3 linked regions of the Arabidopsis thaliana genome follow. The protein of the gene in region 3 interacts with the protein of the main gene of each other region in a biochemical or structural test. Each region holds a gene or a part of one and is shown on either strand. Other genes may lie near its edges.

What was found.
Region 1: the proteins of AT4G22730 (region 3) and AT1G51890 form a complex in vitro, tested with the Arabidopsis thaliana proteins (one large-scale study listed by BioGRID).
Region 2: the proteins of AT4G22730 (region 3) and AT1G67510 form a complex in vitro, tested with the Arabidopsis thaliana proteins (one large-scale study listed by BioGRID).

What each region holds. Positions count from the first base shown.
Region 1 is NC_003070.9:19,274,091-19,280,701, forward strand, and holds AT1G51890 (Leucine-rich repeat protein kinase family protein), read right to left. Parts: upstream 4,709-6,611; 5' UTR 4,439-4,708; coding exon 4,369-4,438; intron 4,275-4,368; coding exon 3,737-4,274; exon of another isoform or gene 3,650-3,736; coding exon 3,171-3,649; intron 3,090-3,170; coding exon 2,945-3,089; intron 2,865-2,944; coding exon 2,793-2,864; intron 2,699-2,792; coding exon 2,627-2,698; intron 2,534-2,626; coding exon 2,450-2,533; intron 2,334-2,449; coding exon 2,203-2,333; intron 2,123-2,202; coding exon 1,875-2,122; intron 1,752-1,874; coding exon 1,493-1,751; intron 1,398-1,492; coding exon 1,208-1,397; coding exon of another isoform or gene 1,204-1,207; exon of another isoform or gene 1,121-1,203; coding exon 712-1,120; 3' UTR 543-711; downstream 1-542. Other genes in the region: RHS6 (root hair specific 6), read right to left, coding at 1-32; AT1G51900 (Regulator of Vps4 activity in the MVB pathway protein), read right to left, coding at 5,794-6,451.
Region 2 is NC_003070.9:25,296,764-25,302,277, forward strand, and holds AT1G67510 (Leucine-rich repeat protein kinase family protein), read right to left. Parts: upstream 3,591-5,514; 5' UTR 3,422-3,590; coding exon 1,933-3,421; intron 1,385-1,932; coding exon 714-1,384; 3' UTR 543-713; downstream 1-542.
Region 3 is NC_003075.7:11,939,068-11,944,416, reverse strand, and holds AT4G22730 (Leucine-rich repeat protein kinase family protein), read right to left. Parts: upstream 3,417-5,349; 5' UTR 3,034-3,416; coding exon 2,604-3,033; intron 2,516-2,603; coding exon 2,255-2,515; exon of another isoform or gene 2,168-2,254; coding exon 1,274-2,167; coding exon of another isoform or gene 1,269-1,273; intron 1,203-1,268; coding exon 721-1,202; 3' UTR 532-720; downstream 1-531. Other genes in the region: AT4G22740 (glycine-rich protein), read left to right, coding at 70-153, 240-367.

The sequences.
Region 1 (6,611 bases), on a different chromosome or scaffold from region 3:
TGCTCTGATTCAGGGAGGTTATGATTATTCATTGATCATTGTTCTTGACTGGCAAGTATTGAGATAACATTATATTGGTCAATTGATTTGGCATTCATAGCTTGTGTAAGCTGTGTGCTAAGTCTTCAACATTAGATTCTTTTATTTTATTCAGGTGATTATTATAGTAACACATTACGTGTCTACGACATTCTTTCCGCTTTCAGGCGTTGGAGAATTTTCAAATGTATATTATTAGGTAGACTTCTAAAAAAAGATGTGAAATCAATTGTTACATTATTTATAGGTTAAAAAACTTTAGCAGATTTTAAATGAATCAGTCAATTTAAATCAGATAGTAAATTTTAATTTTTATGGAGGCACGTTTATTTTTGTATGTGATATGAACTCTAGTGAATTATACACGGACCATGTCACATTTGACTCCAACAACGCTTTCATGCGTTCACTTTGAATTTGTATGAGTCCGAATTTCTTGCAAACTTTTACTTCAAAATCATGAGAACAGAGTAATCAAAAAAGAGCATCCAAGACCATGCGTTGATGACTCATACATAAACTAATATTAAAGATATAAATTTCTTGGAATCCAAGAATGTTACACATAATAAAGGCTAATACATTTTGAAGAAAATTCACAGAACTATCTTAAACATTTCAATATGAACAATCGATTATAATAAACAACAAAGCTTGATAACACAAAGACTTTTACCTAGCTAAAGGGGAAAAATCAGAAGCAGAAGATGGACTAAACTCAACAGATTCCTTTATGTACGTCGCTTGACTACCTTGTTTCCTTTCTATTTCCAAAGCAAGACATTCGTTTAGCTCCATCACCACGTGTGGCATTGTCGGTCTACGGCTTGAAGACGGGTTTACACAAGCTAAAGCCAACTCTACAACCTTCCACACACCGTTTGTGTCATAGTCTTCATTCAGTTTCGGGTCGACAATACTCTTGATATCCCCATTGGTAAGCATGAACATAACCCATTCATTGATATGAGGTCTCTCTCGGTTTTTATTCATCACAGGCTGGTTTGTGACTATCTCTAAAAGCACTACACCAAAGCTGTACACATCACTCTTCTCGCTTAGCCAGTTTGTTCTGTAATACCTGAAAAGAAGAGTATCATAAAGAGAGGTTACAGTTCCCAATTCTTCATAACTTATTTCAGTACAAGAAACAGATTGATTCACTCACTCAGGATCTAAGTAACCAGGTGTTCCTGCAACGACTGTCATGACATGAGATTCACCATCAACAGGAAAAGATCTCGATAGCCCAAAGTCGGCTAGTTTTGCTTGAGACCGCTCATTTAATAAAATGTTGGTTGGTTTCACATCTCTATGTACCATAGGAGGCCTACATCCGTTATGCAAATACTCCAATCCTGTTACAAATAGTTATTGTTTATGTCAATCTTGCTTTCAGACTACCACACAAATTGTTGTGAATGAAAAGTATATAAGTCATAATTTAGTTCACCTTGTGCTGCCTCTACAGCTATTTGCATTCTTGTTTCCCAGCTTAGGACATTGACACTGTGTTTTCCTGTACCAGGCTTTGAATGTTTCAAACTGTCTAAGGAGATGGATTCAACTAAATTAAAGTGCTTACCTGACATATTTTCCCTCAGGTCTCCTTTTTCCATATATTCATAGATCAGAGCTAAGTTGTCTCCATCATCACAGTAACCAACAAGTCCCACCAAATGTCTGTGATGAACTCTTAAAAGAAGTTCAACCTAAGAAAGAACAAAATCACCATTCATGATTGAGGAACCTAATGCACTTTAAAAACAATTAAGACTAACATATCCATTTCTTATTAAAAAAAAAAAAAACATATCCATTTCTTGTTAAAGTACCTCTGCTTTGAACTCTTTATAACCTTGAGCTGATGAATGAGAAAGCATTTTCACAGCTACTTGAGTATCATCCAAGTTACCATGATACACTGTTCCAAACCCTCCTTTACCAAGAACTCTCTCAAAGTTTTTAGTCATCTTTAGTACCTCCGAATAAGTGAACTTGCGTTCCTTTGTTATGATTGATGAACTCGATGATCTTGCATCACTCTTAACCGTGCCAGTAGTGAATGATCGGGGTCCTGAAGCTGTAAAACCTAAAGGAAGTGAGTATAAATCTGACAACTTTCATTTTCATTATTTTCAAGACCTATTCTAGTGATCATACCTTCATTAGTTCTCTGTTTTTTCCTTATGACGACAAAAACGATAGCCAAGATAACTAGCACAGCAAACACGCTAGCCACTGATGCTGCGATAGCAACTACATTTGTACTATTTTTTCCGGTTTCATCTCTACTGCAATCATTAAAGGTGATGTGGAATCGAATAGAAGGTTAGACACTGTTTCATAGGATTCTGAAATACTTTCCGTGACTTGAAAAGCTTGAGACTGAATCCACTGAAAATCTTACATTAGTGTTAAAGATTTGTTATCTATCCTCTTCTGAAGAGTCTCTGGAACTGAGCGATTTAGATTCTTGTTTCCACTCAAGTTTCTGCAAATGACAAAAATGAATCTTTGAGAACAGCACACAAAGAGCAGAGCGACCAAGAACCAAGATAAATATATTAGTCATTTAGTAGCTCACATGAGTGTCAAATTCTTCATATCAGAAAAAACAAATGGAATATCTCCTGATAAGTCATTGTTTGATAAATCTCTGCGCATTAAAGGAAAAAAATAAATTTGTTATACACAATACACCATATCATATACTTTAAGTTTATTAGTGTGTGACAGTTTCGGATTCTTACAGTTCTCTCAAATGTGTTAGCTTGGATATATCAGATGTTATGGTACCACTCAAATTGCTTCCACTCAAGTTCCTAATAGAGAGTCCAAAAGTTAGAACTTGAGAAAAAAAACTCGAAACTAAAGAATTGTGAGATTAACAAGCAAAACATACAAGGATATGATCTGCGGTGGCGCAAAGTTTGGATAACTACAGTTTAAACCTTCCCATCTATATAACTCAGGAGCACATGGATCTCCTTGCCAGCTAGACCTTTTGCTCAATCCATATATTGTCTTGATATTCATCATAGCGGAAACTGATCAATCATTACATTTCAAAAACTTCAAAGACATGAACTCTTGGTAAAAGAATTGGTTTAAGAACATGCTTAACTTACCTTCATCTTGGTATGTATCAAGCTGTGGAAGCTCTAGAACTTGATAAATCTCAAGGCCGTTGATAAGAGGAGGATGAGTAGAGTTACCGGTCATCGAGAAAGTGAAGTTGAAATTCCCATCTAGAGAACTCACAGCTGCTGGATTGTATACAGTTGTTATACGAAACTTTGGAGGTCTAAAATAGGAGAACCAATTTTCGCCACCATTGTAAGTAATATTGAATTCTCTGGTCTCATTAGCTTCAAGATTCTCGATTTCAGCGAAATGCATGTATATATATGACTGTGAAGTGATGTCGTCGAGACTCCAATTTATTTTCAGAGGCTGAGTAGCATTTAAAGGGACAGCAGCAGTTTTCGCTACAGTTTGAGGCACATTGTAGAAGTTACTTGTATCAACAGAGAGTTCCGTGCTTAACAAGGAATTTTTGTTATCTAAGAATGGAATCCAAATTCGGTCATGGACGTCCTCATCATACCTAGAGAGAAAGGCTCATTTTGATAATTTAACACAAACAACAAAACAACTAGTATGAAAATAAAACCTTTTTGGCTCATTTCTGTACCTGAGAAATGGTGGAGTGGGTGAAAAGTAAAGTCTTGCGACCACAATAAGCGATCCACTTTTTGTGACGTATGTATTATTGTTCAAAGGACGAAGTTCCAATGAAGAAATAAACGGTGTAGTTTCTCCTGTTTTCACAAGACAAATTTGAAGATGGTCTTGTCTTAAGACATGGATCATCTCGGAGACTGAACCATTTCTCACTCCGGGGATCGAAACAGAGGTCCATTTGTTTGGACCGATGTAAAGATCAAAGCTCGGGAGTTGATTCAAACCGTCATAATTCCCATAGATAAAGGTTCCTCTGATTAGATACTTACGTTTTGCGGTGAGACTGAAGTTGTAACAATTTCTTTGACCCTCAGGGAAGCTTCTCAAGGCCCAAATTTGTTGCTGAAACTGTGTTCTGTACACTTCATTGATCTTCCCGGGAACTCCACTGTCGATGTAAGTTGCGTCTGATCTGTATGTTATATTCGTCGACTTTTCCACATAAGTAATTTCCGTAGGCACCAAACCACAATCTAAGCTTATGAATCCTGTTTATGATCGAAAAAAACAAACTTTTAAGAGGTTTTGTTGATCTGAAAAGGAAACAAAACATCAAGATTTCATGAAAACAGAGTAAATAACCTGATTGGTCTTGAGCTTGAACCAATCCAAGAACTGCGAAAACGAAGATCAAGAAAGACAAAAACCTCATGTTTTTTGGGGATGTTTGTTCTGAATCAGAGGAGGCTATTCATTTTTCATAGGTTCTTGGTGGGTAAAGATTGACATAAGAGCAAAGTATTGGTCAATTAAGATGGCCAAGTCTTCTTCTTCAACATTAGACTTATTCAGGTGATTGTAACAGCACTCTTATTTGCCTACGAAATTATGTGTCTTGTGGAAATGTTCAAACTAGAATTGGTGGCAAATATATAAAAACAAAATGAGAAATCAAACGAAAGTAAATAAAGAATGGAAAGATACAAACAAAGAAAGTTGCAGAATCTTGCTTAAACAAAACAAAAATACCCAACTTGCCTTCCAAGCTTCCAATAAAAGCAACTATAATAACAAAAAGAGAGCGTAAATAAACTACTAAACAATCGTACTTTTATTTTGTGTGAAAAAAATCTCGATATTATAGTTCGTTGACGTATATTGTATATATTTATTTGGAATTATTTTGACAAATTTCGATGTGTTTAAAATTCTTTTTAAAAAATAAAGTGAAGAAAAATTAGAAAAGAATAAGTCAACTTAGGTGATTTTGATTTTTGACGTCGTCGTTGCCTATAATATTCATTTCTGAAATTTCTAATATTAAGTGTGGAAAAAAACTCGATATTATAGTCCGTTGACGTATATGGTATATATTTATCTGAAATTATTTTGACAAATTTCGATGAGTTTGAAATTCTTTTTTAAAAATAAAGTGAAGAAAAATTTAGAAATTAATAAGTCAACTTAGGTGATTTTGATTTTTGACGTCGCCTATAATATTCCCTTATAAATCCATGACTCAAATCTGGATAATTTTCACTAAATTTTATGACTAAGTCATTTGATTGCTTATTTAATTAAAAACGAGTAACATAAACTTTTTTGTAAGATATACCCAAATTGGTAAAATGAATCAACATATTTTATACGGTAACAAAATTAAAGATCTCATATACACTATTTTCATTTTCGATTATATAGTACATCAATTAAGACTTCATTCAAAAAAGACTGAGCTGAAGCTTTAAATAGCTTTCCAACCTTAAAGTTGGTCCGACTCCGAATCAAAACCAAAAAAAAAAACTAGCGGTTTGGTTAATTATCTTCGTCTTTCTTCTTCTTCTTCTTTTTGGGTTAATAATCTTCGTCTCTCATTCTTCAACACAAAAAGAGACTTTGAATCCTAAATTGGACTGTGGAAAATTCAAAAAGACAGAGGCGAAGCTTTAGTTAGCTTTCCAACCTTAAGGTTGGTCCGACTCCGAATCAAAAAACCCTAGTGGTTTGGTTATAGTCTTCTTCATCTTCCTTTTGGTGTTGATAATCTTCGTGTCTCATCCTGGAAGCTTAGGATGAACTGTGTTTGGTTAATAATCTTCGTCTTTCTTTTTCTACCTCCTTCAGGAGTTTAAACTTAGTAGCAATCTGGTCGTAATCAGGAAGCTTAGGATGAACATGTTTTGTTGCTAATCTTCGTCTTTCTTCTTCTTCCTTCTCCAGCACTCTAAAGCGAGTAATCACTTGGTCGTAATCAGGAAGCGTAGGCTCAAAGTCTTTGGGTGATAATCTTCGTCTCTCGTTTTCTTCTTCCTTCTTCTTTTTAAACTGAGTTAAAAATTGTTCGTATTCATGAAGCTTAGAATGAACACGTTTGGTTGTTAATCTTTGTCTTTCTTCCTCTTCTTCTTCCTTCGTCACTTTAAACTCATTGTATACTACATTATGGCAACAATGTGGTGATGTTGATGATCTTCTTCTTCTTCGATGCATCCCTTTTTGCCTCATGTAATACGTCAAACTCTCCATATCCCTAAACTCTGTTAGTGGTGATAATGGTGATGATGAGGATTTTCTCTTCTCTTCACTACTTTCTCTGAATCTGAAGACTCTTTGATCTTTTCCGACTTGAGCCTCTTCTATGCAACAATCTTCCATTGATGTATCTTCATTGCTTCTCTCTTCTTTGATATCGGTGAGGCTAAATTTGTACACCTCGTGTTTGTGACTGACCAGCAGATCTAATATCCATTACTTTCTTTCTTTCTCTTCATTGACCTAAACACAAGCGTCCAAAATATTATGAAACCGAAAAACAAAAACAAATATATATCTACTGATCTTTACTAATACAATTAACAACAAAATAAAATCACCTGTTTTTCAAT
Region 2 (5,514 bases), on a different chromosome or scaffold from region 3:
CAGTACCCGCAGAATCTGAAACCAAAAAATCAAACCGGATCATTCCGTTTTAAATCTTCTAACCAAACGGTTATAGTTCGGTTCATTTTGTTTAAGACGTGGTTACCTTCAGTGAATCGCTCTCTCTTGCTTGTAGTTTCTTCTACTCTACCTAACCGCGACGCCGCCTGAGTTATCCCAGCTACTTAACCGTTCTCCGACAAAGGTTGCCGGTGTAAAATGTCAAAAAGCAGAAAAGCAACAAACATTTAATTAGTGGGCCTGATAAATATAATGGGCCAATCTAAATTTTAATTATCCATTATGCTTTTTTGAAAATTTACCCCAAGTTAAATATTCTGTGACCCGTTTAAATCTAAAAACCCAAATCCACATTTGCATAAACTCTATGAAAAGCGAAATTTCAAATGGATGGTTCTTGGAAGATATTAGATCTTGTATGTGTATCTTCAACTGAAGGACAAGACAAGTGCCCGTTAACTAGGAGTTGTCTTTTAACAGATGAGAAAAAGACAGCAAAATAAAAGACAAAGCCATTTAAAGCCTAAAGTATAACTCATTTGATTCAATTTTCATAACAAATAATTATTCAATAAAAACAAATCGACCACTAGTCCCAGACGTGGGAGTGACGTAACGACCTCGTGTAAGAACTATCGGAGATACAAAAATATAATAGGAAAAATTAAAGAAAAAAGAATATAATAATTGAATCAGATTTTGTCGATGTTCTCAGAGACGTTCTTCATACGTGGACGGACTTCAGGGTCACCTTCGGTACAAGCGAGAGCTAGATGAAAAACGGACAAGACTTGTTGCTTGGCGTGAACTTCTTGAAGTAACATTGGATCAACCATGTCCGACAATGGAGTCTCCTCTTCAAACCCTTTCCTCACCCACTTCACCAAATCCGGCACCTCAACAACCACCGTAGACGTCGAGGAAGAGCTTAACGGAGAAGAATCCGGCGATTTCCCGGTGAGAAGCTCCATAAGCACAACACCGAAGGAGTATACGTCCCATTTCTGAGTAGGCCTCCCTCCAGGGAGCCGGGCCTCGGGGGCTTTATAGCCGTTGGATCTATCTGAGGGTTTGATGGAAGTGTAAGGAAGAGCTCCACCTAAGAAACCACCCGCAGCAGAGGAGGAGGAAGGTTCGTTAGAAGAGGCAGAAGCGGCAGTGATGGTGATGAGACGTGTGAGACCGAAGTCAGAGATGTAAGGAGTGAAGGAGGAATCAAGAAGAATGTTGGAAGGCTTAACGTCGCCATGTACCAACTTCCTTGGACTACACTCGTGTAGATAAGCTAACCCACGCGCAGCTCCTTTTGCGATCTTTATACGCGTTGACCATGTTAAGCTCGGTGATGGTTGACCATTCCTCCCTATTCACACACCAAAACAAACAAGTATCCAATATTAAAGTAAGTAATGAGTTACGATGAGAAAAAGACGGGACAGCTAGAGGCTCAACAGAGTGGGTGTATAAAATCATTACTCTTAGCCCACAAGTAAACTTCTCTCATCATTGTTTCCTCATTCTGCTATTTTTACTAATTACTTCTACTCTAAGACTCTACCACACTTAAATCATATACTAATACTTAAAAAAGATATTTATTATTCGGACATGTCGAATTCTCTTACAAGACATGTCTCTTTTACATGTAACTTGACTAAATTCTAAATTAAAATACCAAAATATGCCTAAAAAGAGAAAGAAATCTTGGTCCACTCTTGCTTTGACAATCCCACAAACTATCTCTCAGATCTAATCTCATCTCTCACTAAGGTAGTAATGTCTAATCTAGCGTTGACAAAGTCAAAGTCAACATAAATTTCTTAAGTCAATAGAACAGAACCGGATCTCAAACTTTAGTTAGTAGACTAATTCGATAAGCAGAAAAAGAAGAAGGAAGAAGTAATGTAATACCTCTAAGAGCATCAGCTAAACTTCCATTGTTAACGAAGTCACTAATCAAAAGCTTCTCATCAGGAGCCCAATAATAAGCTCTTAACTTCACCACATTAGGATGTTTCACTTTCCCCATAGCTTGAACCTCCGTAACAAACTCTTTATACCTCTGTTCCCCTCCTTCCCCAAGTCGCCGCACCGCCACCGGAACTCCATTCCCTAACACCACTTTATACACTATCCCTAACCCACTCTTCCCCAAAACATATGCAGAAGCTCTCAACAACTCATCAAGCTCAAAAGAAAACCCTTTATCAATCGCTACAAGCTCTCCATCTCCTTTCCCTTCTCCTCTCTCATTACCTTCCGCTTCCGAATCATCCTCTTTCGGAAACCCCGTGATACAACAACACGATTTCCCCTTCACCGAACCACCACCGAGTTTCGCATTCCCTGTGCAGCTACACCCTCCCTCAGAGTCTTTTTTCTTCCAGTACAAGTAAACTAACACTAAACCAATAAAAGCTACACTTGCTGCATCTGCCACCGAGATCAACACTATTAATCCAGTACTTAACCCTCTTCTAGAATCCGCATTATTCTCGGGCGACTTTCGAGTCCCCGGAGAGTTCTCATCAGTGTCTTTACAAGTTTTCTGGAGAGGGAAACCACACAGTTTCGGATTATTGAGAAATGCGGTTGGCCCCTGGTTAGAGAACGAACCAGATTGAGGAATCTCGCCGGAGAAATCGTTGTTCCGGAGATCAAGAGAGACTGTCACCGGTAGATTTCCTAAGGAATTAGGGATTTGGCCGGATAAATGGTTAAAGGAGAGATTCAAAGTACCAGAGAGAGACTTAAGCTCTCCGATATCCTTAGGGATTTCGCCGGAAAATTCGTTAGCAGAGAGATCAAGCTGAGCTAAATTAGTCAATTCCGGCCAGATATCACCAGGAATCTCACCGGAAAAGTTGTTAGCGGAGAGGATCAACCGTTGAAGCTGTTTACACTTGTTGAGATCCGGTGAAAGAGTTCCAGAGAGCGAATTCATAGACAAATCGAGATTCTGAAGCTTTGGGAGTTTACAGATCGAAGGAGGAAGAGTACCGGAGAGATTGTTACCGTATAAGAAGATACTATGAAGCGACGTCGCGTTGAATAATTGAGTAGGAATTGAACCGTAAAGTTCGTTGTTGTGGAGGTTAAGACGACGGAGGTAAATAAGTGAGCCAAGCTCTGAGGGGATGTAGCCACGGAGATGTTTTCCGGCGAGGGAAATTCCAACGACGCGAGAGGTAGAAGAGTCTGAGATGTTCATACAGGAGATTCCGGACCAATGACAAGGATCGGTGTCGTTATCGTTCCAATCGGAGAAAGCGGAGGAGGAGGAGTGATCGACGGCGGATTTGAGTGAGAGTAAAGCGATACCGTCGGGGGAAAGAGAAAGAGAAGGAGAAGTGTTGAGGAGATGAAGAAGAAGATGGAGAAGAAGTGAGAGAAGGATCATTTCTCTGTACTTGAATTTTTCTGGTTTGTGAAAATAACAGAGAGTGAAGAAGGTGGGTGACGAAAGAATGAGAGATTGGTTGGTTCTTGAAGGGTATTTATTTATGTTAGTTATACCTTTTTAATCATACTGTAATCAATTAATTAAGGGCAAAACATCAATTTATGGCAACGTATTTAATAATTCAATTACAAATTTTTTGTTTTCATTTAATTTAGTTTGACATAACACATTTTTGTAATAATGTTTGCCAAAATTTCTATTGGTCATCAGTAATTTTGTCGATTGATACCGTTTTGATTGTGACTAATCGTAAAATATATAGCGGTATTACAAATATCATTTTTATTGTAATGTTTTAGAAAAAAAAGTTTTACTGTTTGGGGGTTCATAAATTAGATCCACTATTAACATAAAATTATCTAAATTAGTAATGTTTATATTGATGAGTACTATAATTTTGACTGACTGTGAGTACTGTAATTTTGAGACTTTGTGAACAAAGGTAAAAGTATGGTGGCATGTGTAATTGATTGCCAATTATATATTTATTTATCATAATGATATTTTTTTTTCGCCATTTTTTTTTTTTCATTATAATGATATCATAATGATAAAGAAACAAAAAAAGAGAGAAAAATATCATAGTGGTCCTCACAAACATGGATTAGCCTAATCCAAATGTTGATTAGGGTAAATAACTAACACTACTCACGTAAGTGTTAGGGATTAGCAAATGAAGGAGGTACGGAACATTGTAACTCCTTGGGAACTGTTACGGTCAGGGTCCCTGTCCCTCACTTAGCCGTCGAAGTAAATGCCATGCCTTTGACACGTGCTCGCTGGTCTCTCAAAGTCTCTGTATAGAAGTTTTTTCCAATAATTGTGTTTAAAATTGAGTTTTATAAATCTTTTTCTTATTATAAATCTTTTTCTTATTATTTCAATTTTGCGACTAACATCTTAGAATATTTTTCATAAAAGGGTTATCAATTTAGTTTAAATTAATTTTTCTGTAAATTTACATTTTAGAATCAGTTTAAAATGAATTTTCTGTAAATGTACATTTAAACTATACTATTTGAGGTGTGTTGTTAATGTCGTTATGTCCCCCTATAATCATTAAAACACGCTTAGAAGCTAACTAAAGCATGAAATCTATAAGATAATATCTTATTTAAGTGAAGTATGAGAAATGAGATTAAATCATTTTATTTATCACATCATGTTTCTACTGTCTAGTCTACTAAACTAGGATAAAATTATTTCACCGTCATTGTTGCTAGTTTCGAAAGTGGCTTTATATTTGCTATGCTTACGGATTCTTTTGGTTTTGGCTGGCTTGGCTAAATTTTAATTCTATTATTCACATGATCAAGAAATTGAACCAAAATTAATATCACTACTTACCAATTTGGTATGAGTTTTTTTTTTCCGACCAATGTTGTCCGCAACTGTTAAAATATACAGTACATCTACATCATACATGTTTCTGTCATGTGGTAGTTCGATTTGTAGAATGGACCAACAAACTACTCTCACGTGTTACCATACAGATATTATATCACGTTCTACCATACAATCTTAACACATATAGATATAGTCTCAAGATTGAAAATGAACATCGTAAAGATTACTCAACTTCAGCAGCTCTTTAAAGTTTTGTATTACCAACAAAAAATTTCCAATACAAATACTGGTGGAAAAATATTCTCCCGAATTTTGCTTTTTCCCTTCTACTTTGCTCTTTTTTTTATTTTTCATTGTTCTTACATCATTTAGCCGTCACACCCAATTGATAAAAAGAAAAAGAAATGAGTATATGGATTCCTAGGTATAATGATGTCTGGATTATCTGTTACAAGTTTTACACCAAGAATATTAATGATGATATCAGCATATTGGAAGAAGATGAAGCACTCATTGATTCCACCGGTGGATGAGTTTCTCTCAAGAAACCGTAATCCTTTTGCTTTGCACCCAAGTCATATTCTTTTCGATTATCTTAATTAGCGTTAGTTCTATCTTGCATTATGTTGGCTCCTATGTCGTCTTTTGAAGAAGAGAGGTAGACCCTATTTTGCTAAACTTAT
Region 3 (5,349 bases):
TTCATAAATGTTCTATTGTGGATGAAATATCCTTATATACCGTTTGCTTTCAATTGCAAAATTCTGCAGATGAATTGGCTGGTTTTGAACAGTCTTGGAGTGGAAATGCTAGAAGGCAAATGCAGTTACCCAGTCGCTCTGGTTCATTTGGAAGTAAGCAGTCCTATTACACGGTCAAGTTTTCGTGTTGTACGTTTCTTTGTGAACAAAGATAAATCATCTCTTTGATGTTCTTGCAGGTGGTCTTGTGAACAGAGAGCAACCAATGTTACTTCCCTCGACTGATCCAAGTCCTTCTCATGCACGAGCAGAATCATCCCGAAGACCGAAAGCTGCAATGAATGTAAGAGGACATGGTACAAACTAATCTCCGCCTATATGTATGGTTTCGAAAATCTTTAGTGAATGTAACCAAAGACTAATTACTTTACTTAGGTTGCATCATCATTACTGTAACTGTATGATGACATGATTTGAGGGTTTTAAACACTGCTCCTTGATGATTATTATATATGTATCTTTTGTTACATTAATCAGTTCTTCGTTGCTTATAATCATATAGCTAACTGATTAAAGCTTCAATTCTCAGCTACAAATCTAAATAAAATATAAACCGGACCCGGTTCTTACTGGAGAGAACTAAAACAAACAAAACCAATTGGTGGGACACAGCTAACCGGAGAATCATACTTGCACAAAGATACTAATTAAAAAGCAGAGTCATTCACTCTTCATACAGTTTATATTCTCAAGCAATGTCTCTATATTAGGCCTATTGTTTGGTATCTCCTGTGTACAGCTTATCCCAATCCTCGCCATTGCAGTCGCCTCTGGTTTATCAAACTCTTCACGAAGATCTTCATCGATGAACCCGTTATGTTCTCCATTTTCAGCTGCATTTCTCAGTGAACTTGTAAGCATGAGCTTACCAGAGAGTATCTGGAGAATGATGACTCCAAAGGCGAAAATATCGGTTTTCTCGGTGAATTTTCCGGTTGTGACGTATTCCGGAGCTAAATATCCCATTGCTGCACTTGTTTTGAGTGCTGAGAAGACCATATCGTCTGCTAGAAGGTTGTGAAGACCCGAATCAGCGATTAACGGGTTAAATTGTTCATCAAGTAGGATTTTTTCGACAGAGATGTTTCGATGAACTATTGTAGGCTTCTTCTGTTGATCACTTCCATGTAAGTAAGCAATACCTGCAAGAAATTTGTGTATTAAATACATTTTGTTCCTTGAACTCAAAGAAGTGATATTTCAAATACTTAACCTTTTGCAATCCCTTTGATGATGGAGATTCTTGCAGACCAAGCAAGGACCAGATTAGTTTCGCGTTCTTGTAAGTCAAGAAAATTTGAAAGCTTTCCTTTTGAAGCAAAATCATAGATGAGGAAACACTCTCCTCTGCCTCTAGAACAGCAGAATCCACGTAGCTTCACTAAGTTTTCGTGTGACAACGAAGATAAAAGCTTTAAACCGTTCATGAATTCGACTTCTTCGTTCTTGCAACTGCTTATGTTGATGCTTCTGATAGCTACCGGAGAACCATCTCTGAGGACTCCTTTGAACACTGAGGTGAAGCTGTTTCTGCTCAATAGATTAGCTTCTGAGAAGCATTGGGTTGCTGATTCAATGTCTTCTAAGTTAAACCTGAAGCTACTATTTACAACAAAGAGATGAGGCTCTTGTGAAAACTCAGCTCCGTTTCTGCTATCACCTAGCGGATCCCATTCTTTAGTGTAGGCAAGACTCACTAAAGGCGATGCACGGAACTCTTTTTGTTGATCTGTGCTTAGTCTTCCCTCGGAAAACTCAGGTGTGTTACTGATCTTTTGCTTCCTTCTTCTGTAGCGAAAGAAGGTCAATATACCAGCACCAATCAATGTTATAGTGACGGTAATCACGCTTGAAATCAAAGCAACTTGTGGGAGTTTCGATGAGGATTTCTTGCAATGTGTTTGGTTGCAATGCTTTTGGAGATATACAGACTCGGGAATGTTGTGAAGAGCTGATTTATCAGTGTCTATTTCACCAGGAGGCTGCTTAAATTGTTCGATATTATTCGCATTATCGAAAGCAGAACAAGCTCTCAAAGAAGGAAAATCGATACCACATAACCCGGTGTTGTTCTCAAACTGGAAGCTCCCATTCAACTTCTTAAGACCTTTGAAGAAACATAACGAAGAAAAAACCGAGTCAAGAAACAGAGAGATAAGCTCTTACAAAGACGTTTCAAGAATCATTAACTCACCAGGAGGAACAAAGCCAGAGAGAGTATTGTTGCGCAAGTCAAGAGTGTCCAACTGAGGAATGTTGGCTAGGGTTTTTGGGATTAAACCTAACAGATTGTTGAAGCTTAAATCAAGCCTGCTTAACATACTCAAGTTTCCTAAAGTCCAAGGAACCTCTCCGGTTAGTTTGTTGTGTTGCAGAGACAACACATTAAGTTTCTTCAAGGATCCAATGTTCTTTGGTATCTTCCCTGTTAAACTGTTGCAACAAAGATCCATAACTGCAACAAAAGACACCACAAAACATTCAAATGGAAGATCGAGTAAACATTCAAGTGAAAGATCTGTGAAACATTATAAGATGCTAACCTTGCAAGCCAGCCATGGAGCCGATATCTGCCGGAATCTCACCAGAGAAGTTATTAACATTGAGATAAAGATCTGATAATTCAGTAAGATTTGTGATCTCTTGAGGTATCTCTCCAGAGAGACTATTGTAATGTAAGTAAAGACCTGACAAACATTTGAGCTCTGCAACCGCCGGAGACAATTTTCCGACCAAACGTTTCCCTTGTAATGATATGTTTGCGACTTTTAGATGCTGGTTACATGCAATTCCTTCGAAAGATCCGTCGCATGGATCGCCGTTAAACGTCCATGAACGGAGAAGCTTGTTTTCAGGGTCAAGCGACGATTTCAGCTCCATTAAAGCCTTCAGCTCTGCATTTCCTCGAACATTCGACGGAGTTGCAAGAAAGATTGAGAGAAGGATCAGTAACGTGGCACATAAGGTAACCATTCTTGAATTTTCTTGTCTCTCTGTTTAGAAATTACTGAGCTTTAGCTCATTTATCTATCTCTCTTATAGAGCAGAATAATCTGTTTTATAGAGCAGAGTAATAAAGGAACGAAATTTATAGAGCAGAGTACTCTGTTTTGTACTGGATTGGGAGCTATCTCTTTGTTAAACGAAGATAGTAACTTTTAGAGAGGGACCAATTTTGTGTCTGTTTCTCGGATTTGGAAAACTGTAACCTTCCACTCTCGTGAATGAAAAGTTATTCTGCAGAATTTTCTTGTTTTGGAGAGAAGAAGAGAAAGAAGCAGAACCTCAGCTGGTGAAAAGTGGGAAGACAACACAACGCATTGAATACACTGTCTGTGTGAGACAGAGACGTATACTGCTTTTGAAAAGGAAAGCCAAATCTTGATGACTTTTTTGGTGATTTTTAACAGTTAATGTTCACATTTGTTAGTGGGGATGTGATGTTATTAGGTGTTTGTTTATTTATTATGTCTATTGCTCGAGATCTTGGTTTATTTCACTTTCTTTGCATTGGTTTATGATTTAGACAGACTTTAAAACATTTTTAGTATATTTCTTCTATATCACAAATTCTATATAAAACAAAAATATGCTTTTTGGATAACCATTTTAGAAACAAACAGAACTCGGGCAAATCGCAAAATCATTTAGCTATTTGATCATAACTTAAGTTTACGAATAAAATCCATAGAACTTAATATCTATGTGTGGTGGTTATTATAAATGGTAAAATGGGTAAAAGTGTAGAGCGGCTTTAATGTGAGAAAACGATCTAACGAGTGAAGTTTATTTAAGTTCATGTTTGGCGATTGAGCACTTTGGCTTATAGTTCATAACTTTTGGAATCATTTCGAAACTTGGATCATCCTCTTCTTCTTTGTCAACACTCCACCTTCCCATTCCCTGCATGTGCCACGTGCACGTGTCTACTCCTGCATACACATACACATACACATATTCATATTTAGTCTCTTAAAACAAGTCTTTGGATGAGAATAGTACTGATTAAAGAATGTTTTTTTTAGATCCATATTTCTAATAGTGGTCTAATATGATTAGTTGATTATATATACTATAAAATATAGTATACTATAAAATATAGTATATATGGTCTAAATATAGTATTTAGTTAATGATGATATCGAGATTTAGAGGACAATTATTCCACTAACTCTCTTTTCTTTTCCTCTAATTATTTGTAGGCTATAAAGTAAATTGATAAAAGATTAGTTATAGAAATGCTATTTGTTGGTACATGTATTCTAACCTAATTGGGTTTAAGAACAAGACAGTTTGACTATAAGCAGAATCCAATGTGGACTGAAACATTCATCTTAATTAGATATTCTTAGATATACTCTTTGATTATATACAAACTTTTATCATATGTCCTATTATACTGATGAATCTTACTATGTGGACAAAACTTAATTCACACAATGAATAAAATTGGTGAAAATGATAACAAAAAACAAATTAGTGAAGTAATTAAGCACGTTAAAACTAAAAAACGAGACTAGTAGATTTGACGACGACGATCGAGTTCAATGTGAAAGCATAAAACCTTATCAACGGCTATAATTCAGATCTTGATTACTTCAAGGTTTTTTAGATGTATACAATAGTTTTAACAAAAAAAAAGATGTATACAATAGCAATCAGACAACTTTGATTTATCTTCAATCATTCGTCTTTTATTTTTTGGCATTTCAAGATGGAAGGAAGACTTTTGAAATACTTTTATCTTTTCGTTAACTACTTTGACCTTTTACTTGATTGTTTTACTAATAACTTTTGTCATTTTCTCCTTTTTCCCACGTCTTTTTGAATCTATATGATGTCTTTTAAAACTTTTGAAAATTTTATATTTAGTATGCATGCTTACTTACATAGTTACATGTATGAATGTTTTATCTAGAACTCTAGTCTCTAGAAGGATATCCACATTATGCTACAAAAGTAATATAAATATCGACCAAAATTTGTGTAGCCTATGTGTCAAGGTTCTGATTTACACTTGAAAATACGCAAATGAGTTCTAGATGATGGAAAAATGATACACTATATCTCGAATGTTTTTACAAAATTATTAGATAGAATTTATCTCTACGTCAAATTGAAATTTTTGACAACTTGTTGTTGCCTTTACAATTTTTATTAGCAAGATCAAGATTAGATCATTATGTATAAATTCTATTTACTCACTTTTCGTTTAATACGCAATGCCATAGAAGTGTCTTGTGATTAATTGAACCATCTCATACGTTCTACATTAAAAAGTTCTTACTT